Linked DNA regions of Bombyx mori. The protein of the gene in region 3 binds, or shares a complex with, the protein of the main gene of each other region. Links are inferred from orthologs where the notes say so. Each region holds a gene or a part of one and is shown on either strand. Other genes may lie near its edges.

Evidence for each region.
Region 1: transcription initiation factor TFIID subunit 6 (region 3) and Taf13 share a complex: the UniProt entries of both Homo sapiens proteins name them as parts of the TFIID basal transcription factor complex. The link is inferred for Bombyx mori from reciprocal best matches to the Homo sapiens genes TAF6 and TAF13.
Region 2: transcription initiation factor TFIID subunit 6 (region 3) and transcription initiation factor TFIID subunit 3 share a complex: the UniProt entries of both Homo sapiens proteins name them as parts of the TFIID basal transcription factor complex. The link is inferred for Bombyx mori from reciprocal best matches to the Homo sapiens genes TAF6 and TAF3.
Region 4: transcription initiation factor TFIID subunit 6 (region 3) and transcription initiation factor TFIID subunit 8 share a complex: the UniProt entries of both Homo sapiens proteins name them as parts of the TFIID basal transcription factor complex. The link is inferred for Bombyx mori from reciprocal best matches to the Homo sapiens genes TAF6 and TAF8.
Region 5: transcription initiation factor TFIID subunit 6 (region 3) and transcription initiation factor TFIID subunit 4 share a complex: the UniProt entries of both Homo sapiens proteins name them as parts of the TFIID basal transcription factor complex. The link is inferred for Bombyx mori from reciprocal best matches to the Homo sapiens genes TAF6 and TAF4.
Region 6: transcription initiation factor TFIID subunit 6 (region 3) and transcription initiation factor TFIID subunit 5 share a complex: the UniProt entries of both Homo sapiens proteins name them as parts of the TFIID basal transcription factor complex. The link is inferred for Bombyx mori from reciprocal best matches to the Homo sapiens genes TAF6 and TAF5.

Annotation. Positions count from the first base shown.
Region 1 is NC_085115.1:8,093,394-8,097,348, reverse strand, and holds the start of Taf13 (TBP-associated factor 13), read right to left. Parts: upstream 2,801-3,955; 5' UTR 2,673-2,800; coding exon 2,631-2,672; intron 2,559-2,630; coding exon 2,383-2,558; intron 2,215-2,382; coding exon 2,057-2,214; coding exon of another isoform or gene 2,040-2,056; exon of another isoform or gene 1,906-2,039; coding exon 1,892-1,905; 3' UTR 1,845-1,891; exon of another isoform or gene 1-1,844. UniProt on the Homo sapiens protein: The TFIID basal transcription factor complex plays a major role in the initiation of RNA polymerase II (Pol II)-dependent transcription.
Region 2 is NC_085113.1:3,417,246-3,421,317, forward strand, and holds the start of transcription initiation factor TFIID subunit 3, read right to left. Parts: upstream 2,801-4,072; 5' UTR 2,515-2,800; intron 2,361-2,514; 5' UTR 2,341-2,360; coding exon 1-2,340. UniProt on the Homo sapiens protein: The TFIID basal transcription factor complex plays a major role in the initiation of RNA polymerase II (Pol II)-dependent transcription.
Region 3 is NC_085121.1:11,007,064-11,010,563, forward strand, and holds part of transcription initiation factor TFIID subunit 6, read right to left. Parts: intron 3,111-3,500; coding exon 2,941-3,110; intron 2,866-2,940; coding exon 2,715-2,865; intron 1,547-2,714; coding exon 1,374-1,546; intron 1-1,373. UniProt on the Homo sapiens protein: The TFIID basal transcription factor complex plays a major role in the initiation of RNA polymerase II (Pol II)-dependent transcription.
Region 4 is NC_085124.1:7,747,477-7,751,490, reverse strand, and holds the start of transcription initiation factor TFIID subunit 8, read right to left. Parts: upstream 2,801-4,014; 5' UTR 2,629-2,800; coding exon 2,481-2,628; intron 2,102-2,480; coding exon 2,003-2,101; intron 1,472-2,002; coding exon 1,284-1,471; intron 528-1,283; coding exon 377-527; intron 1-376. UniProt on the Homo sapiens protein: The TFIID basal transcription factor complex plays a major role in the initiation of RNA polymerase II (Pol II)-dependent transcription.
Region 5 is NC_085107.1:19,834,974-19,838,903, forward strand, and holds the start of transcription initiation factor TFIID subunit 4, read right to left. Parts: upstream 2,801-3,930; 5' UTR 2,778-2,800; coding exon 1,962-2,777; intron 801-1,961; coding exon 636-800; intron 1-635. UniProt on the Homo sapiens protein: The TFIID basal transcription factor complex plays a major role in the initiation of RNA polymerase II (Pol II)-dependent transcription.
Region 6 is NC_085110.1:9,225,387-9,228,886, reverse strand, and holds part of transcription initiation factor TFIID subunit 5, read left to right. Parts: intron 1-26; coding exon 27-226; intron 227-762; coding exon 763-964; intron 965-1,066; coding exon 1,067-1,256; intron 1,257-2,222; coding exon 2,223-2,298; intron 2,299-2,371; coding exon 2,372-2,509; intron 2,510-3,500. UniProt on the Homo sapiens protein: The TFIID basal transcription factor complex plays a major role in the initiation of RNA polymerase II (Pol II)-dependent transcription.

The DNA.
Region 1 (3,955 bases), on a different chromosome or scaffold from region 3:
AATTTGCAATTATTTAACATACAATTTTGAACACAACACATATATTTCCCATTAGCAACACAAATACTATTATGCTACAATTGCTAATCCTGTTGTTTTCTCTTAAAAAACATTCTACAGATAGTAGTGCTTTAATTTCTTTATCAAGCCAAACAGTTTTATGTGATATATCTAGGGTTAGAGTACCTATAAAGTAGTACAAGATGTAAATATTAGACATTCATTTCATTAGTACACAAATTCTCATATCCTAACATGCTAACTGTTCAAGCTGCTATCTCTTGCCAAAACACAACTTTCAAATACCAAAGTGCAAAAGTAACACATAAATTAACAATAAACAATAAAAATGCTTATGCAATATGAATTTCTAAACGTGAAAACATACGTGAAATTAATTATTATTGTTAAACAGATTATTTGCAATTTTTTTTTTGATAGCGGCATTGCATGGATGTCTTCCAGCTTCACCAAGATAAGGCAGGCCAGGTTGGACTTAGGCAGGAGGGGCAAGATTTGGAGATCAGTCAGGAGTAGGTTGATCCCCAGGAGCTTACCTACCAAATTGCAGCAATAAGTTATGGTCTGATTTTGTGCCAATGAAGCATCATTTGCAGGAAGAATTGCTTTCATTCAAAGAAAACAGCAGCTCAAGTGCATTGAGAAAATGTGAATGAAGCAACATGGCATTGATTGGTTCCGTCGCTCCACAGATGCGAAAGATGAAAACCTATTGTTCGATGAGGATTCATATCAAACATAAGATCAGCTTGTTTCGATATTAAGGGTTGCAAGCCAAGATTGGGCATATCCACTAGTGGGTAACACTTGATTCCCTTTAGAAGTGAAGCCAAATGATGTTGAACATTGTCTTTTCATCTGTGAACGACTACTCCAACAGTACAAAAGAAAGGGTTTTGCAATGATGAAACACACGGGGAGGAAAAGGACTAATGATAGACTCCCCGTTAATGTTTCTACATCATTGCCACTGCCAAATATTCAGCTTACGAAGGTTATACTGTGTATTTGGTGCAATCAGGTTGGCATTATATATTAAGAGCTGTGGAGCTGAACAAAACCTCCACTGAAGAATGATATAGAATATAATTAATGCAGTGAAGCTTAATGCAATGCTTACACTGCATGAAAAATGCCCACAAAATGAGCAGAGACACAAGAAAGTGATGCTCCTGCATGATAATATTAAGCTCCACAGTCCCAAATATTTTGCTGTTCGATTATTCTTTGTTCCATTTGATGGTATCTACTTGGCTGGTTGTTCCATTCATATACAGATATCAAACAATAGCTTAGTTTCATTCATAGATAATCTCAAAAATGACACTTCTATTTACCAAGGAGGTATTTGAACTTTGCCACAAAGATGAGAAAAATTGTGGCTAGTAATAGAAAATACTTTCATGATTCATTTGTGAGATTTTTTTTTAATAAAAATGCATATTCATTAAGAAAAATAGAATTTAGTTTTCACAATCAGATTCACATGCTACAATTTGGGCAAATACTACTTAACAGAACATTCTATAATATCGTTTGCACAAGGTCTTCTAACTCTATTACTATAATGATAACCTTATTGTTTATAATACACTGGTGATCACAATAAAATTTAAAAAAGTAGGTACTAAATATTATATATTTGATAGTAAATAAATATTATATTATATAGTATAATTTACCATACATTTAAAGTAATCAAAACAAATTACAGATACATCTACATTCAGGATCTTATTAAATTTACAACCATTCATGACATTAGTGTTGTTGTGAATGTGCAAACACAAAAGCAGTGTTATAATTAAATATATGTTACTTGCATCAATCAGTCTAGAAGCATGGCGTCGGTTGTATGGCCACAGTATGGTTACTGTTGGTCCTCTATAATTTCAAAACATTTCAATACAAACATTAATAATCACACTTTAGATGAAACATCTCAAACTGAAACACTACAATGATAGTAATATAGAATTGGATTTTTTAATGGGAATAAATTCACTCAAATTTTACAATCAAATGTACAACTCACCAACATATTTTACTTCATCAAAAGCTTTTCTAGCTTTCTTAAGTTCCTCATTCATTGTAAGAAGGTCTTTAACACGTGCATACTTTCGTGCATCTTTACGAACTAAGAAAATTATGTCTTCTACTTGGACTCTTCCTGTTCTACCAACTTCCATTGCCCTGTTATATATATTTTTAGTATTGTACTATTTAAATCTAGGATTGCATGAGTTCATGAGTCCACCTGGTGTGATGTGGTATACGGAGTGAAACACAAACATGAATATAAAGAAGAATAAAAATATTGAAGTTTTCTCAAGACACAAAAAAGTTTTTTTTTTATCTTACCTATGTGTTGTTTCTGTTATAAATTCAATAACTAAGTCTTCTAAAAAATCGACACTTTCAGTATACGGGTTTTGATCATCACCAAATCCATACATCATACATCTCAATTCCTTACTAAAAAGTCTTTTACGACCAGATGTAGTTCCACCTAACTGTTGCTCTTCTTCTTCATCAAACTACAAAGCAATACTTTTATGTACACAAAAGAACAAAAAAATAAACAAGCAACGGAAAATCAATAGTTTTACCTGGTCAAAGTTATCTTGCGAATCAGGAGTGGGAGTGGCCATGATATTGATTTACTAAAGTTTTTTTGTAAAACTTAAAACGTTTATTTGTAGAAATTTTACATAAATAAATAGTCAGTAGTGGTAGTAGTTTTGTTGTGGATTTTAAAACAAACGAGTTAAAGTAAAACAATGAACATCTTTTATTTTATGGAGAATGACATTGACATAGAGTTTTTTTAAGGGATTTTATGACCTGGTAACTGAGACCTTTAAGTCATGAAACAAAATGAAAAAAATGCTCTAGCAAAATATGCTAATATATATGATTTGCTAGTGGAGCCATGTGGCATTTTCAATAGCCAAGAGCGCCCATATCTTGCTGCATCTCCTGATGGTGTGTTGGGCGAAGAAGCTATAATTGAAGTGAAATGTCCATACGCTAGCAGAAAACATGAAATAAATATATCAACGGTGCCTTACTTAGAACGATGTAACGGGATATTGTCTCTAAAAAATCCTGCCCATACTATTATCAAATCCAAGGACAGTTATACTGCTCAGGCAAAACATACTGCAACTTGGTCATTTACACCTACAAGGACATCAAAGTGATTTATGTTGAAAAAGACAATAATTTTATAAATAATATGTTAAATAAATTAGATATCTTTTATGAAAATATTTTCAAAGAAGCATTGTATAAAAAATATCTGTATTATAACTATACACACTTGTCGAAATAAAAAATCAGGAATATTTTTAATTATTTTTATTGACAATTCCTTCTCTAAAGTTACATAAGTAACTTCTCTACTTTTTGTTTCTTCAGAAACTGGTTTCATATTCCATGAAAATATAGATGGTACAGCACCTTTCTTCAGATATTTATGTTAATGTTTGACACCTGCAACACAAAGAATAACATTTAAATATACTATCACAAGGAAAGCTGACCATAGTTTCAAAATATTTGTTATTGCAATGGATGCAGCGATTTAGATAGAACTTTCAATAGTAACAGCTGATAATGAACAACAGCTCATGAGGAATGTGTTTCCTCCAGTCTGATTTTGTGTTTGTTATAAGGTTCCTTACAGCATGAATCTACTTATTATTATTGGATTTTTTTAATAAGAGAACAATGATGTGTGCTACACCTAGTCATGCATTATATATATTTGACAGAAAGAAGCATACCTGTGTATTTACTAATGTTTTCATAGTCAGATTCCACAAAGTGTTTACGACATAACCTCGAACTTTCTGTATGAATACTTTTTTCGCGTCAAATGGCCTTTAACCACAGTCTTCCAATTTTCTTGTCCTTCGGGAATTGATGTACT
Region 2 (4,072 bases), on a different chromosome or scaffold from region 3:
ATTAGCCTTGTGATCCTTATGCGACTTAGACTTGTGTTTCTGTAATATATTTGGAATGGTCTGAGATTTGTGCTTATCGTGGCGGTCCTTTTCACGATTCATTGAAGACTTATGAATACCTCTGTCCTCATCATTTTCTACTGCTATTACCTCCAAACTCGGTCGACGGAGCATTGGTGGTATTTTAACGGAAGAAGATCTCGATGATTGGGCAAAATTTCCCATAGGCATCAGAGGAGAATTCAAGCCTCCAGGTAAGAAACTAGGACCAGGAATGAGACCAGGACCACTGGTTCCCAAAGCAAATGGATTGTTTAATAAATTACAGGGTGGCATACCTCTTAGTGCTGGATTGTTTGCTAGACCAGTGAAGAATTCACTTCCTGGTATCAATCCAGGGTTCGGGATGAGACCAGGGCCGGGCATAAGACCTCTTCCAGGTGGCATTGTATGAAAAAATGGAAAACCAGCTGGCATTTGTGGCAATTTTGATTCATTTTTCTGTCTACTGATTTTATGTTGTTTCATTCCAGCCAATTTCATACTTTGCTTTTCAGCTTGTGCCATTTCATAGGCTAATTGTTGTTGTTGCTTCTTCAACAATTTAGCTTCTAATTTTGCTGCTTTATCTTTCTTGTCTTTGTGTTTTTTCTCTTTTTTAACTTTAGGACTAACACTCGGTAGATCTTTGGGAAAAGGGGTTTGTAAGGACTTGTTGATTGATATATTAGGTTTAGATTCCAGTAGTTGTCTTTGCTGTGGTGTAGGGTTTCTGTCCAAAGAATCCTCATCAATATTAATCACTTCATTACTTCTTAAATCCATCACTTTAGACAAATCTACAGCACTATCGTCATTATTGTTCACAATTTGGTCTATCACTTCAGATTTCATTCTTGCATTTTCATTTGACTTATGAACTGAATTTTGATGTGATGCATTTTGCAACCTTGAAATAGTAGCATCAAGATTTACTTTATCATTTACAACCTCTGGAGTAGTCTTATCTTCTTTTGATTTGTTCGTTATTCTCTTAAATATATTAATCTTTGATTTATCAGGTTGAGAGGCCAATTTCTCATCTTCATCTAAAACTTCTCTCTTTATTTCAGTGTGAGGAATGAGAGAATTACTCATAGACTGCTGTTTAGGTGTGGTGATGGAATTAGATACTAGAGGAGATAATGAGATTGGAATTTTTCTAGGGACCGGTATTGCATCTTCAACAGAAAGCCTTCTGGATATTGGTGACGGAGGATCCAATGGTTCCTGTTTTATGACAGGTTTTACTGGCTCTGGAATAGGCACCAGTGCAGGAGGAGGTGCCATCTTTGCTCTTGAAGGAGGAGGTGGAGGGGCAGCTTCAGGCGCTGGCATAGTTATATGATTATGGTGTCTGGGCTGCACATCCTTACTTTTTACAGGATAACCAGGAGGAAATTTATTTAATTTATTACTGTCCTTATTTTTACCACTTTCACTCTTATGTTTATCTTTTCTTTTACTCTTCATAATTTTACCATTAGGTAATTTATTTTTCTTAGATTTCTTATCAACTTTTTCTAAAATTGGAGGTTTAGTTACATTTGTATGAGAATTAACTTTGTGCTTTTCAAAGTGCTTTTCTGCTATAATTGTAGGAGGACGGGCTTCGGGAAGTTTACCTTCACGGGCTGGTGACAGAAAACCAGACATGGTCATCATCACACTACTTATTTCTCTCGTTCTCTCCTCTTCCTCTAAGCGTAACCGTGGCCTTTTACTATTAGGTAAAGAAACAGGATCAATTGGTCTCTTAAAAATTTCCTTTGATTTCTCAGGACTGTCTGTGACAGATATTTCTGGACTTGTACATATGGTATTATTGCTAGTGACATTATCAATACCATTTTGATGTATTTCAATAGTGCCTGCAACAGCCGGTGTGTCTCTCTCTTTCTCTGGATACATAGGAGGCAGATGCTCATGCACGTGCATGGGCCTTGTGACAACTTCATGACTTCCTGGTTTTAAGAAGTTTAAGTTCGATTCTTTCGGTTTTGGGAATTTAACAGAGTTTACTGGAGGTGGAACAGGAGGTACACAACGCACATATTCAGCAAGCTCCGGCAAATTCACATTAAGGTCACGGAATACTAATCCTAAGTCATGTAAATTTGGTTCAGTCCTATTAAATTGTTCAGCATGCCTACTGGCTTGGATGCCAAGGGTTTTGATATATTTCTCCAGTACATGTACCAAAATGTCAAGTGGCGTTGAGTTTATGCCGTTCCATCCTATAGTTTGGCATATTTGCGCAACATTCCTCCGTAGTATCTCGCGGGCGTACGCCTCTGACATTATGACACCAACAACGTTATCTGGAACAAATGTTTATATCGGTATTATAAACATAAATCAGCATAATTCAAATGGCGTCGAAGCGAAGAAATGCTGTACAAGCATTTTCGATCACAGAGAATCATATTACAAGCCGTCAAAGTGGTAAAACAAGGAAACTCGTGATTTTTATACCTGCAAGTGTCCAGTAGTACAGAGACGTGGTTCTGAACTGCTGAAATTCTCAAGTTTTGTACATACATGTATGCTTAACTATGATTATATAAAGTCAAGGGTAATTTATAAAAACACACAAATCGATGGCAATATAAATTAACGAAGTGTTTACGTAAAAACTTCTCAGCATTCTAAAAACACAGTACCCCGTGCGCCATGATTGCATTTTGGGTTGTCAATGTCGAGTGTTGCTATTTGAAAATAAACAAATGGCGGTCTTCTTATGGCAGCGTTCAATGATACTAGTGATAGACTAAAATTGATTACAGGGAGCATTTGCTTTGCGACTTTATTCAAAGATGTTTTATTTATAGTTTCTTTTTAATTCATTTCCTTTCAATTAGTTTATTTTTGTTTAAATCAAATAAATAATTAAAAAAAAATTAAGCTACCGTAATCCTCATAATCGGTTAAGCTTGGGTGATCTTTAACACAGATATTCCAGATTTCAAACTATTCAACATGGGCGTGCCGGATAGTCTCGTGCTCATCATACGGGACTTCTTGTCAAACCGCTCTTTTCGATATCGAGTCGAGGGAACCCGCTCCTCCCCACGACCTCTCACAGCTGGAGTCCCGCAAGGCTCTGTCCTCTCACCCCTCCTATTTAGCTTATTCGTCAACGATATTCCCCGGTCGCCGCCGACCCATTTAGCTTTATTCGCCGACGACACGACTGTTTACTATTCTAGTAGAAATAAGTCCCTAATCGCAAAGAAGCTTCAGAGCGCAGCCCTAGCCCTAGTACAGTGGTTCCGAAAATGGCGCATAGACATCAACCCAGCGAAAAGTACAGCGGTGCTATTTCAGAGGGGAAGCTCCACACGGATTTCCTCCCGGATTAGGAGGAGGAATCTCACACCCCCGATTACTCTCTTTAGACAACCCATACCCTGGGCCAGGAAGGTCAAGTACCTGGGCGTTACCCTGGATGCATCGATGACATTCCGCCCGCATATAAAATCAGTCCGTGACCGTGCCGCGTTTATTCTCGGTAGACTCTACCCCATGATCTGTAAGCGGAGTAAAATGTCCCTTCGGAACAAGGTGACACTTTACAAAACTTGCATAAGGCCCGTCATGACTTACGCGAGTGTGGTGTTCGCTCACGCGGCCCGCACACACATAGACACCCTCCAATCCCTACAATCCCGCTTTTGCAGGTTAGCTGTCGGGGCTCCGTGGTTCGTGAGGAACGTTGACCTACACGACGACCTGGGCCTCGAATCAATTCGGAAATACATGAAGTCAGCGTCGGAACGATACTTCGATAAGGCTATGCGTCATGATAATCGCCTTATCGTAGCCGCCGTTGACTACTCCCCGAATCCTGATCATGCAGGAGCCAGTCACCGTCGACGCCCTAGACACGTCCTTACGGATCCATCAGATCCAATAACCTTTGCATTAGATGCCTTCAGCTCTAATACTAGGGGCAGGCTTAGGGACCCCGGTAACCGTACTCGTCGAACTCGACAAAGAGGTCGACGTGCAACCTAACCCATGCATCAGCCCG
Region 3 (3,500 bases):
ATATAATGTATGTCTTTGTATGTAATTTATCTATGTAAATCTGATATAAAAAAATGTTCATAGATATTTAATCATTTCACTTGGCTATTTTTGGACTAAAAATTAACGTAATTTTAAATGTGGCTTTCATGAAAAAAAAACATTACATAGGGTAGCATTCCAATCGCAATCTATGTTATTTTTGGAATAAGAGGGTATGTATGCCGGGATTCTGCTGGCCCGATTCTTATGATTATTTTTGCATCGCAAAAGGGGGTCCCTGGACAATTTCCAATTACAATTGGACCCGTTAAGGCTTTATTATTATTATCAGGACAAGACAATTGCCGGGCCCACCCATGATAATATATATTCAATTCTTATAATGACATTATATGGAATCATCACAAGTAAAATCAAAACCGAAAGGTTGCGATAGTAATTCTTCATCAAGAACAGTGTATGATACATTTCTAGTTCATTTTTCGAGGTCCACAATGTGATTGAGTTACAAAATAAACACCATTCAGCATACTGACTAAAGGTAAATGTAGTGGAAAGTGGTTAGCTGATGGTCTGATAACATACCTGTATCAACTGGTACCTATGCTCAGACGGATAGCAGAAACCATGGCCGTTTTCTAATTACAGCAAAAGAGCGCATTATGCGGCATAATGCTCAACTATGCTTCAGCATAATTCGGCAATTAACCATTACTTAATGGTAGTTTTCCAATTACAGAGCATAATGCGACTCAGTGACGCACAATGCCGAATTATGCTGAAGCTTAGTTGAGCATTATGCCGCATAATGCGCTCTTGTGCTGTAATTGGAAAACGGCCCATGTAGCGAAAAAATAATGCTACGGTAATCTATATAAAAATATTGCCAATTTATAGAAGAAAAAAAATTTCTTCTGTGTTTGATCATTGATATTCTTTTTGTTCATTAGCTATTGAAGATCTTTAGACATTTTTTTTGACATTGTTTATTTTCTAAACGTCAATAAGAAATAAAGAAAATGTTATACAGTACCCGGCGATAAATATTGCACATCGACCGTGGGAAAGAGATGGTTAATTTTTGCTTTGTAGAGCGTTATATGTGTCGCACATTACCTAATTGACATTTAATCTCCATAGATACGGGATCGTTGGTGTTTCATCGCACACAGATAACGCTCTACAATAATAACAAAATTAGACGACAGTCTCTTTCTAAATATCGATGTGCAATATTTATTGCCTGGTACTGTACCTAGGTATATAAAATTAATCTAAATTTTTAGGTGTCAATAAATATGCGCGAATATCGACAATCACTGACCGGACATGAGTAATAAAAAGTTCAATAGGAAATCAACAGGACGATTCGTGTATAAGACGTGACTGACTTGTAGTCTTCGGGTTGGTCGGGCGGTTGCCGCAGTTGTCGGACGACAGGGGCCAGGACTTTCAGCAGCTGGTGCTTGAGGTTGCCGGCCGCCAGTCGGTCCGCGCCACCGATACCGCTCAGCGCGCCCTCCACGCGCTCTCCCAACCAACGCACGCGCGGCAGAATGAACACCTGTAAAAAAGGCGTCATCTTACCAGATCTAACATGAATCGCCAGATTATCACGCCTACGCAGGGTCGGATTGAAACATAATACTGCTCCTCGGTACCGGAAAAAAATCTGCTGGTAGGACCTCTTGTGAGTCCGCGCGGGTAGGTACCACCGCCCTGTCTATTCTGCCGTGAAGCAGTCATGCGTTTCGGTTTGAAGGGTGGGGCAGCCGTTGTAACTATACTGAGATCTTAGAACTTATATCTCAAGGTGGGGGGCGCATGTACGTTGTAGATGTTTATGGGCTCCAGTAACCACTTAACACCAGGTGGGCTGTGAACTCGTCCACCCATCTAAACAATAAAAAAAAACCGTGCCAATACTGTAATTTTACCTAAATTTATAATTTATATATTTTATTTTTCAAAATTAGGATGACTAATTTATTGCGGAAACTTTATCATATGTCATATATTTCAAAAACATAAATAAATATATATATTTTTTTCTAACAATTACAAATTTTGACTAAGGGTGACTCATAATTATATTTCATCAAAAAAAATAACTAATTATATTTCTTTAATTATAGAAAATAGAAAAATCGATTATTATTTTAAATCTCCAAGGAAATAAATTGATTAAACCATTTTGATTATTAATTTTTACCAAAAGTGCCAAAATTATAATTGACAAATAATGGATGAATTGAATTTCTTGAATTATCAATTAAAAAGGAAATTATTAATTATTAGAATTAATTAATTATATTGAGCAATCTTGATAAAACTAAAAAAAAAAAACTAAAAATTTTGCCGCCCTAAAAAATATGCCGGCCTGGGCACTTGCCCCGACTGCCCCTAGTGTAAATCCAACACTGCGCCTACGTGTCTGGGCCGCCGGTACACAGCCATCAAATTCAACTAAAAACCCGGCGTGCATAAGTTAATTCACGCACGACAATGTTTAACGCGCCTATGTAGAGGGCGCTGCGTGACGGCGTCAGTGTGCTTAGTGCGAGTTTTTTAACGTTCTCGATGGCGTAAAAGTTAGCTTATATTCGTACAGAATGGGATCTTTTGCATACGTTTGCCACTAGGGGCGCTGTTCCAACTGCATACAAAATTGGGCTAACTTTCACGCTATCGAAAACGTTAAAAAACTCGCACTAAGCACACAGATTACTCACTTTAACGACTTCGGGGCCCAGCTCTGCCAATCCTTGCACGGCTCCATACAGCGACGCGAGAGGAGTCTTCTCCGATTCCTTCATGCTCGCCATAGAAGGACCCGTTTCGTTGTTTGTTTGTGAAGGGCACTGGAGGGCTTTCGCGAACAACCTGAGCGCAAAGAATTTTCGTATAGTAACTACCAGATACATTGTGTGACTTTAAAATTTATTCAAATTAAAATACCTGGTGACTCTCGTTTGTAGATTATTGGTTGAAGTATTGAATGTTTTGCATATCTGAGCCATGAGTCGCGCGGCGAAATCTCGCAGGGCCCAGTGGTTATCCATCTCGGGACGAAGGCACAGCTGTCGTGATACTATGCATGTCGACACGGACGGAATCAACTCGTGTAACTGCCCAAACAATACAATTTACTTATTAAATCTGCAATTACCTATAGACATGTATGAGTATCAAATATTGAAGCGTGGCCGTAGAGAGAATGGCCTATGGACTCTTATGCCATGGTCTAGATTGGACAGATAACATTTTGTCTAGAAAATACGCATCTAAGACGTGTTTACGAATGAATCCTACAGTGCAGGAATAATATTGGTCTCCTCTATGATCATAAAATCTAAACCTCCAATTTTATGATGTGCAACTGCGAAACGAGTGTCAAGACGTATTAGTGGGCATGCACCGCCTTATTTTTATTAAGCAGTATCGTTTTATTCGTCGTTTAAGCGACATTTCGTTTAATACGCGACACATTTAATTTTATCTTTGTAATTCGGTGTATT
Region 4 (4,014 bases), on a different chromosome or scaffold from region 3:
TTCTACTATATAAAGTACAAGGCCCCCTAGTGTTAAGTGGTTACCAAAATCTCTAAAGATCACAATGTGAATGCCACCCACTCTTTGAGACATAAGGTTGAAATCTCGATAATATATTTTTAATAACTGTTCTATCGTTCAAACCAAAACACATCACCCCTTCTTGTCAGAAAAAGGATGCATGGTAGTAGCTGCCTATGTGTTGCATTTTTTTATAAATGTTATTCTTTTATCCTGGAAGAAGTTTTATGAACATATATTACACATGCATTTCTTTTTATCACATGAGTGACATGGTCATGAGATGTTAACAGTCTATTAATATCTCTATAAAGAGAAATATTCCTAATACAAAATGAAAGGAGTTTATTCATACATGGAAAAACCTGATTGTCTTCTGTATTAAATAAATTATGGGTTTCACTTGTCTTTGCTAAGAATTTAGTCAAAGCACGTTCAATGTCTCTTTTTTGGGTTGCTGCCTTCTCTCGAATGGCTTCATATTCAGTTACTGGTTGCTTGTGAGTCTGTAATTAAAAAAAAAACAACGAATTAGTTCGATTTAGAAGTCACAAACTTTATTTATTCAAGAATATACATATTGGCAGAAGGTTTTTTGCTTCATAAAAAATGATAAACATCAAAACTGATCACAATGAAGTCATCGTGGCCTAAAGGATAAGAAGTCCGGTGCATTAGTATCCAGTAATGCACTGGTGTTCAAAGCACGCTGGCAAGTACAAATTTTTCTAATGAAATACATACTAAACAAATGTTCTCAATTGACTTCCACTGTGAAAGAATAACATCGTGTAATAAAAATGAAACCCGTAAAATTATAATTCGCGTAATTATGGTGGTAGGACCTCTTGTGAGTCCGCACAGGTAGGTACCACCATCCTGCCTACTTCTGGCGTGAAGCAGTAATGTATTTTGGTTGGAAGAGTGGGGTACCCGTTGTAACTATACTGAGACCTTGGAACTCATATCTCAAGGTGGGTGACAGCATTTACGTTGTAGATGTCTATGGGCTCCGGTAACCACTTAACACCAGATGGGCGAAAATGTCGTCCACAAACCTAAGCAATAAAAAAAACATAAAAAACTTTTAATTTCTATTTTGCTGCAAAATACTAAGCATCACCTCAAAAGTCCCCAATGATTTATTTAATCATTTTGTTTTATATCCTTCGCTTTGTATTTTGATTAAAACTAAACAAAAAATCATTCAACTACCTACTTATTATTTAGTATAACATTTGTGGTTAAAGGTTTATACTCACAGGTGTTCTGATGTATGCATGTGGATCTGGTAATGGAGGCAAATGAAAAGGTATATGTGGTGCTGGTTTAGCTTTAGAGCCAGCTGACAACATAGCTGGGGTGCGAGGTGCAGGAGCTTGCTGAGGAGGTTGAATTACATGCCGATTTGGACGAGCAGCATATTGTTCAATACCCTGTAAGCTTATACCTAAAAAAAAAATTGATGATTAACAAGCACTCAGTAAAGTTTCTCATTTTTTATTAATCTATTCATAACCATGAAAACTAACATTTATGAATATTACTATTCAGAGAAAAAATTTGGAAACTTCATCACTTTTTTATTTACAAATGAGTCGTCTATTATCAAAGGTGGCAATCTGTGCATTTGGACAATTTTTTTTTATTGATATGTCAATACAGATTGATTTGAATATAATCGTCTCCTTCAAAGAATACGGTTCAAAACCTGCATTAAATAAAGGTTAATAGTTAACCTGTTATTTATCTAAGATGTCGTTCCGAAGAGTTTTGTGACTGCCGATGGAATACAAAGTCAATAATTCGTTTTTCTGATTTACCAATCATTGTCCAAAAGTCAGATTGCCGCCTTTGATAATAGACGACTCAAATATAACAGGTTTCCTTTCCCATTTTCAAATATAAAATGCAAATACTGAACTTTATAAATAAAGTTTATATTATAAAAATTATAAATAAAGTTTTGTTTTATTTATACCCATGTTAATAAGTGCCATTACAACATCACCCAACACTGGCTCCACCCGTCCAGATAGCTCACAAAATCCTTTCGCCGAATTCCCAACTTCTGCAAAAACTAAAACAATCCATTAATATAACAGTGTAATTGGTATTATATTTTACATAAAAATAAATTATGTTTTTGAACTTTGCTCCTAGCAGTGAATGAGCTAGTTAACATAAGCATATTGATTTTTTTAATAAATGCACCACAATATCTATTAAGTAAATTCACTTTGTTTGCAAATTCCAATTTCCTGGTATGAAGTTCTTGTAATGAGTAGTAAATTTTTATTTCTGTGAAATATGTACCTGATTTGTTACTTTAAAGAAAATTTCTGGTCTTTTATTGGTGGAAATATATAAATACAATTATATAAATACACTTGGCACTAAACTGTAATGAAAAAGACGTCTATTGGTAAAACGTTATTTTAAGATATTGTTTTACGTACAACATTGAAGCATTTCAGTCAAAGTTTCCAACGAAACTTTATCAGCAGCATCGAAACCGGTCTCCAATAATACCGTAGAAACTGCAATGTTTAAGATACGTCGACGAGCATCAGATGTAGTTTCAGTTTTTTCTGACATCTCGGACATTTTACTGCTCTTTAGATAATTTTAATTGGCTTATCGAACTATGTACTACTTTTTTTACTGTAATTATCTCATAAATAATACACTTAATGTAATTATAATATTATTTGCTTTACTTCGCTTCGTCAACAAAACATATCCATAAACTTTTTTTTTTGGTACAATTTTTCCTTATTATGTAAGGCAAGGGGATCTAAGCCCATACTCCTTAGTAGTTTAATTTTTACAAATGGAAAGGCAAAGAAATAACACCAACCGGCCTAATCTTTTTTTTATGAATTATGAAATGAAATGAAGCTGACTAATTTAATATGAAAGATGTCATGCCATTCCATCTCTGACATGAAATGAATTGAAATGAGGTGAGATGATATGATATGGGATATTTTTATGAAAAATGATAATATGGAGTGAAATGAAATGAAGAATTTGAGACATTAATCAACTGGGATGAAATTAAATGAAATGAGATGAGATCATATGGGATGAAATATAATCTCAGTAAAATGGTGGTCGTTTACTGAGATTTTTTCAGTGGGCTTTTTGGAGGATCCCAAGAAGTTATGTACAACGGTTTTGTTTCATTTTCCCACATTTGTGCACTTTCACAGATAATAAGCAGTTAATAAACCACCGTTATTACACATTTAAAATTGAAGAAACACTAAATAGACAAAATAAAACAAATCGCACAACTTGACACCTCTCGTTCCCGCCAAAAAGTCCCTACCTATCCATAAACTTTTTTTGGTACAATTTTTCTTTATTAGAAAAGGCAAGGGGATCTAAGCCCATAGCGCCTTGTCTGTTCTATCAAGTTGTATCATCCTTATCTATTCAACAAGTATATTATCTATGATAGAGTTCTTTGTTTTAATTGTTCATAAGACAGGCAAAGAGGTTTAAAGCCTTTAATTAAATAAACACAAAATTCACAAAAAAAGAAATATGAAATGGCACAAGTGTGAAGTTGTAAAGTCATCGTGGCCTAAAGGATAAGACGTCCAGTGCATTCAACGGCGGATCCAGCTTTGGCGCCAGGAGGGGGTCACATAGTCGTGGTCAAGTCAAGAACTTATAATTTAATTTTGATAACAATAGATACAAGTAAAAAGTAGGTATTTTAATAATGTTCGTAAATAGGTGGTACGACTAGGGTTTCCAACAAACAAAATAGAAACAAACAAAATACATATATTTAAATAACAAAATCAATTTTTCTTTAACGTCTTTTATGTCTTCTTCGTATTCGTCTATGACTGCTCTCGTCTCTACTTCCGAATCCGAAGTGATTAAAGGGATTAAATCACTAAAAATAGAGAAAAGTCCAGGCCCCGACAGGATCACCAACGAAACCATAAAGCTCGGATGCGCGTATCTAGCAAAACC
Region 5 (3,930 bases), on a different chromosome or scaffold from region 3:
AAAACGCGTGTTATGGGATCACACAAGTGCGTCATATGAAAATACTCCTACAACGTGTTTCCTATAACATGGAACCAATTGACTGTGTTATAGGATGGATTACTGTATAATAATTTATAATAGATATTTTTGATATTTTTAAACAATGGCTTGTCTGTTATACAGTTAAGATTATATTAATCAAATAACTTATAATTTCTAAAATTTATAAAAAATTTATTAAAGTATAACACTAAATTATAAATATATCTATAAACACATATCTAATTATATTGCATATATTATTGTATTTACTAATAAATATTTAAATACTTGAAGCAGCTTAATAACTATGCATAATAAGCATGCTCTACAGCTAGCACGGACATTTGGCTTATACTTAGATGTACTGTTGGGGTACCAGCGCATATATTTATGCCTTACATTAAACTAATGAATCCAGGTAATTAGTATTTATAAGTAATGATACTCCAATTAGAATCTTCTTACCTTGTTAATAAGAACATGCACCTTCACCACATTTGTACATGCATGAACAACATGAAATTGGACAAACATGAGATTCTCAATGTGGCGCAAGAGAGAGGGGGGGTTGTCCAATCTCAGTCAGGGTGTGAGTGGTTGTGCCTACTTACTGCTGGCACAGTGGACAGCCTGATGGTTTGAGGCTGGGGCGTCGTGAGAGAGCTGGCCGCTGGAGCGGGACCCACTCTCAGCAACTGGTATTGACCATTCTCTGTCTTTAACAACAAATGACCCTGCTGGCCCGGTTGTAGACTTGGTAGTGTTTGCAGCGTTATCTAAAAATTGAACGCTTCAATTCAATTTCACCTACTTCTTCATTAAATGAAGAGTAACAAGTGAAAGAATATATATTTTACTAAATATAAAATTGGAATGCGAATTCCTAAAGCAGGTCATTTGTTAAAATTTATAACACACTTCAGTGACATGACAACATTGACGGGACAGGTGACTGTGCAAAACTAACATGTATATGATATGATTATGACAAGGTTAGGATGGGTTAAGCTATTATTGATTACAATATTATACAAAAGCCCGAGTAGCACAATGCAATTATATATGACATATATGACATCTGAAATGAAGCTTTCTCAGATTCCATTAAACTGGTAAAGATTGCTTGATTTCATAAATTTTACTAATATTTTTATTTGTAGCAGTTTTATGGATTCCCAGAAAATTATATAATAAAGTTTAATTTATAAATCCATGTTGTATTAGGTTTATATTTTGAGGCATTATTTGATTGTAGGGTAGCAGAATTCAAAGTTAAATTTCAGCTTGTTTATGATATGCAAACCACTGAAAATTTGTTGAATCACCAGTGGGCCCATTTCCCATTGATAAAAGTTTAACAAGCAGTATTCTGTGTTTATGTGACAATTTGTGCAAATATGCTAAGAGTTTTAGATGACAGTGATGTTGCCCGAAGAAATCCATCCTCTTCATGTTTCAGTGAAATTTATTTACAGATAAGTGGGTATCTAAGAATTGTGTTAATATCTTTTGTACATAACCATAATGAACCATGTTATAACATTTATTTTTACAGCATAACATTATAATGCAGAAAGATCCTGTAGATTTTTTCTTTTTTGTTTTAGTTCCTCTATAATGTCTATTGTTAATTTGTTTTAGGACTGATAAAAAGACAATAAAAACAATAGAAGATTCTGATTTGATTAAATTAGAAATTAATAACATTAACTTATTTTAAGTTTAATGATTTTTATCTTTTACAAACATTTCAGAAAAGTTGCAATATACTATGTTTTGAATTTCCTAAATATTGTTTTATTTATAAAAGTTTTTTTTTTTTTGGTGGTATATTTACTTTACAACTTGTATCAGTCCTAAAAGTTTTAAATAAGTTTTAGTGACAAAACGCTTGGATAAATAATTAATGTATTAATATTTTAACATTTGAGACTTACGCCTGGTCCTGCAGCTCTGGTGCCAACAACTTGTGGGGTGCCTATCACTACTCTTGGTGATACTGTTGCTACTGACTTTTGTGCCGCAACTGCTGGAGCACCAGCTCTCATATTCAGAATCTGAACATTAGGGAGTATTGTGGGCTGACTCGAACCCAAGTTCTGAGTTGTTACAACTACATTTTGTCCAGGTTTGTTCAAAGTCATTACATTTGGTATTGAACCGGACATGCTTGAATTGGCTGTCATCGGTACTGTGACCATTCCAGACTGTATTCCCACTTGGCCCGAAGACGTCCCCTGTTTTAAAACTAAAGGAGGTTGCATCGCGTCTACTGACGTTATCAAATGATTTTGGGACGAGGACAACCCAACGAAACCGTTCGGAAGTGACTGAGCGGGAAATGTCACCGAATTTGGGTTAGAAAATGCTTGAGCCTGAGAATATATAACTTGTATGTTATCGTTACAATTGGTCACAGTACCACCCGGTGTCAAAGAGGAATAAGTACCAGGAACACTTGATTGGACATTATTACAGGACGTGCTATTTGTCAACGAGGGTCTGTGTATACTGTTCGCGGCAATACCGCAGCTAACTCCGCCTGTTGTATATTTATGACCACTTATAATAGAGCCCGCGTTCGAACTTAGCCCGGGAAACTGAGATGATAAAACGTTCACTAAAATATTTTGTGACGGCGCCGACGATACGTTAGTAACTAATTGGTTTTCGAGAGTGCCCACGATCGCGTTCACGGCTTTCTCGTCGACGTCTGTGGACAAAGCTTCCTCCAAAAACTCCGTTGACGCCATTTTCTACAAATCAGCGGATATGACACTGGACGGTTACAAACCGGTATTTACCGACAAAATGTGGTATCACTGCTTTTGGAAACAACTTTTATTTTTTACTTTTTAGATTTTTGTCTGTTTGATAAAAAGTACTTTTTTTAAGACAGCCCAAATAAAATCACTACCTTTTCAATAAAAAGAATAATTTTGTTATTTGACTGAAAATTGTACAAATGTTGGTAATACATGCTAAAAGTTGTCATACCTCAGATGACTATATACAATATTTACAGTTAAATACACAGGGACATAAAATAAGGTACATAAATAAATAAATAAACACCAACTTTGTGATCTGTTAAAAGTGTCCGCCAAAAAGTAGAACAGCGTCTTTGTACAAAGGTGAGCCAATTTACAACTGCAAAGGTTTCAGGCTAAAACTTATTCTTAATTCGCTATTCATAACTATATTTTAATTTTAAGTCTCTTTTGTTGTGATTGTGTTAGACACTTTATAAATTACGTTCTTATCAAATCCTAATGTTATAATACCACATTTTACTCCATCTAAAGTGATCGACATTCCTTAATGAATTGAATTATAATGAGGTCTAAGTCGCAAGTCGCAAAATTTTAGTTATGATATTAATTTATATTTTTGGAAAAATATTAACAAGCTAAAAAGCTACGTTAATATTTTTTAAATTATCTATACCAATATTATAAAGAAGAAAGATTTGTTTGTTTGTTTGTATTGAATAGGCTCCGAAACCACTGAACCGATTTGAAAAATTCTTTCACTGTTTCGAAGCTACATTATTCCCGAGTGACATAGGTTATATTATTTTTTGAAAAATTTAGGGATCTTACTAAAACTAAAACTCCAATAATGTAACCCAAGGTGTAAAAAAATTACCTTCAATATTCTTTCCATCGCGTGCCCTGCGAAAACTATTGATAATAGAATAAAATAATGTACAACTTTGTAGAACACATTATTTACAAAAAGTGTCGCAACAGCATATGTACTCTTATAGTTATTCCGCAATAAGTGTTCTTTTATTTAAAAAAAAATAAAACAACGTCAAATATCATTGAATTTTTTATTAAAGACCCGAGCGGAGACGGTGCGGGCCGCTAGTACTGTATAAATTGAATTAAATTCACGAAAATT
Region 6 (3,500 bases), on a different chromosome or scaffold from region 3:
CATCTAAATATATTCTTCATTTCCAGCACAAATAAATTTACAGTTCAGTTATCAAGAGATGCATCTTCACAACTGAAACGTTACTTACACGAACAGAAAAATTCCTCAGTAATAATAAATATAATAAATAATCATATACAAATCGAAGTCCATGATGGTCCAGGAAGAACTCAAGCACAAGTTCGAGCTACAGCTGGAGGGGTACTTGGAGAACCAATGAAAAGTGGTGAGAATGTTGAATAATTATCGAATTACTATAAACACCAATGAGAATGAGAGCCATTAAATATTAACCTGCATAGGTAGGTACCACCGTTCTACGTTTTTCTGCTGCAGTAATAAGTTCCTGTTTTAATGTTGAGACAACTGATAAACATTAGACTTGGTTTTTCTACCTCATGTCTTAAGATGTGTGATGACATTTAAGCTTTGATTTGTATGAGCTCTGATAACCACATATCACCATGAGAGCCACATATCATCATTGTTCACTCATCTATACATTCAATTGTTCTCCAGTTTTTCTTCCGGTATTTAAATAGTGACACTGATTCAATGAAATTGTAACTATACTGTAAATAACATTATGATGACATTGCATCACAGGGCCAAAAAATAAATGACTCTTAAGTAGGTAGGCCAAATAAATAGAATACATTTTATTATAAATAATTATATAAACGACAATACCTAATGAACACAAGAACAATGATAAGATTAAACTTTTTAAATTTAAATTAAACAAAAAATTAAATTATATAGAAAATCGCACCAAAGTGTATTATGGGCTCCTGAAAGAGCCCGATATTCAAGTTCTACCGGCTCCGGTAGAAGACGAAGAAGAAGTAGAAGAAACCCCTGACAAACCAAAAAAGAAAAAAGCGAAAAAAGATAATCTTTTTATGAAGAAACCAAAATCTGACCCAAATGCACCTCCTAATGACAGGATCCCTCTACCAGATCTGTAAGTCTTGTACTGATTGCAAATTTATGAATTTTTTAGAAAGAAATTGTGTGAAATAAAAAATATAGTATTATGTGCACATATTTTAATTTATTATTTTAGAAAAGAAATTGATAAAGTAGAGAAAGGCAAAGCACTCAGAGAAGCATCAAAACGTGTTCAGCTAGGACCAGACAGCTTGCCCTCTATTTGTTTCTATACATTACTGAACAGCGGACATACTGCAATTAGTTGTGATATTTGTGACGATTCCACCCTTTTGGCTGTGGGATTTAATAACTCAAACATAAAGGTATACATAGTATATAGCGAATGGTATTGATTTAATGTGTTATGATTTTCAGGTATATGCTTTTTACTAACTAACAAAAAATAGCATAGGAATGAAGCTGCTATTTTTAATTAGAGCTTTTGAAGGAACTGTATCGCCTAAGACTAGATTTTTTCTTTGAGAAGTTTTTGAAAAAAGAAAACCTGACTAGAGATGCTACCACGTTTTTCCCAATTTAGCACTCTTACTATTGTAGCGACAGCTATTACAGAATAGAAGATATTTGTCAAAAACACATCATCAAACACATAAGCACATCTAAGTTTCGAGCATTAGGACAAAGACACTCGCTCAGTGATCATTCCTAGGTCGTTATCCACAAAACTGTAAACCCAGTAAAATATGAAGTAACCGCTTGTAAATATAACGCTCTCATCATGTTTCCACTTGTGTACATATTTTTCTACATGACTGTAAAGATCAGAGATCACTTAATGCTAAAAAGCTTTTACGATAATATTTAAGTACAGTAAGTATACGAGGCTTAAATTAAGCATCAAAAGGTCGTTGCAAAATTCAAATCAGAGTTGTTAAATATTTTATTCCTAATTACCTCAAAGGCTCAGGGACATGCCTTAATACTAACGACATGTCGCAATGCTCGGGAAAAATCTGAGAAAGGGAGAGTTAGTTAATTCCAGGCAAAGCCGAGTGACACAATGAACTCTTAAATCTCGCTGTGGAAACCCTACGATAAGCATTGCCCTGTGGTAAGGGTAGTTATTAATGGTAGATCACGACTCAGAGCAGCCCCTAATAGATCGAAGTATCTTCGGGTACCCAATGATTGAAAACCATCCGAGAAACTAATCGATAATTCTAAAGAAACTATCTTCTCAAATTATAATTTGTCTCTAATTATTACTACCTAAACACTACTCATTCATCCTAAAACTCAAAATTATATTCTAATTTAAAATATTTTAGGTATGGACATTGACTCCCATTAAACTGCGAGGAATGAAATCTGCAGAAAAACTACAAGATATAGACAGGGAAGCAGGTATAAATTTGGTTAAAATATATAATTGTTTTCAAATGATTTAATCTAATATAAATAAATTGCTTACTTTTAGGTGATGTACTCGTGAGGATGATGGAGGAAAAGGACCGTGATACGTGCCGCAACCTTTTTGGGCACTCCGGCCCCGTTTATAAAGTTGCATTTGATCCTTTTAAAACAATGCTGCTTTCGTGCTCTGAGGATACAACTGGTACGTGGGTCCGGTTTAACAAACTTTGAAATCGGAATCAAAGTTCCCAGTCTGAACGGGGCAGTGAACCGGCTCTGTATTTTACAAATATATTATATTATCTCCTCGCGTCGTTTCCTCACTGCTGAGGGTCGTGACCATTATACTTCGACATGATTTTACTCCTTGTAATGTCCCGCCAGCGCCTCCGATTATTGGCCGCAGGAAGGGCGTCGTGGAATGGGATCTCGTGGATCTCGTGATATATGACTTATCATTAAAACCGGCTAGTAAGTTAATTAAATGAAATTTCGAATGTGATGCACTGTCCCTTTCCAACAATGCATGCGTTACCAAAAGAAACTTTGGTATTATTGCTTTTTTATTTCCCTTGTAGGCAGACCAGATACGGCTCCCCTGATGGTGAGTGGTTACCGTCGCCTATGGACGTCAGGAACGCCAGGAGCATAGTTAAGCCGCAGCCTACCGCTAAGTACCGTTAAGCTTGCACTCTGTCTGTCATGAATAAACTTTACAAATAATCAATTACATTACAAATAATCAAAGAATCAGTTCATGTCTCTATTTTTGAAGTATAGGTTTGCGATGACTATGATGAATTACAGTTTCCTAACAAACAAAAATTTGTTTATAGCTACATAATTACACCATTTGATGGAAAATTTATTGAAGACTGAAATAATATTGGTAATGGACCTACAGAAATTTCTTAGTCGGATTTCTAGTAACTGTAGTGGTTCGGTTAACACAAACTTGTTCGCGAAACGTCTACTTTTAACGATCTTACAGATCTTATTTTCGACTATTTTGAATTTATCTTCAGTCACTCAAAATCGCTGATGGAAGTCAATTATCTAATGCGGTACCCATTTTTCTACTGATGCCACGGTATAATTCGTATTCGGAAATAACATGATATTTAACTTTTCTAGAATTGTGAATAAAATTTTTCAAAGCAAACAATGCGAAAACACACAGAGAACACACTAAA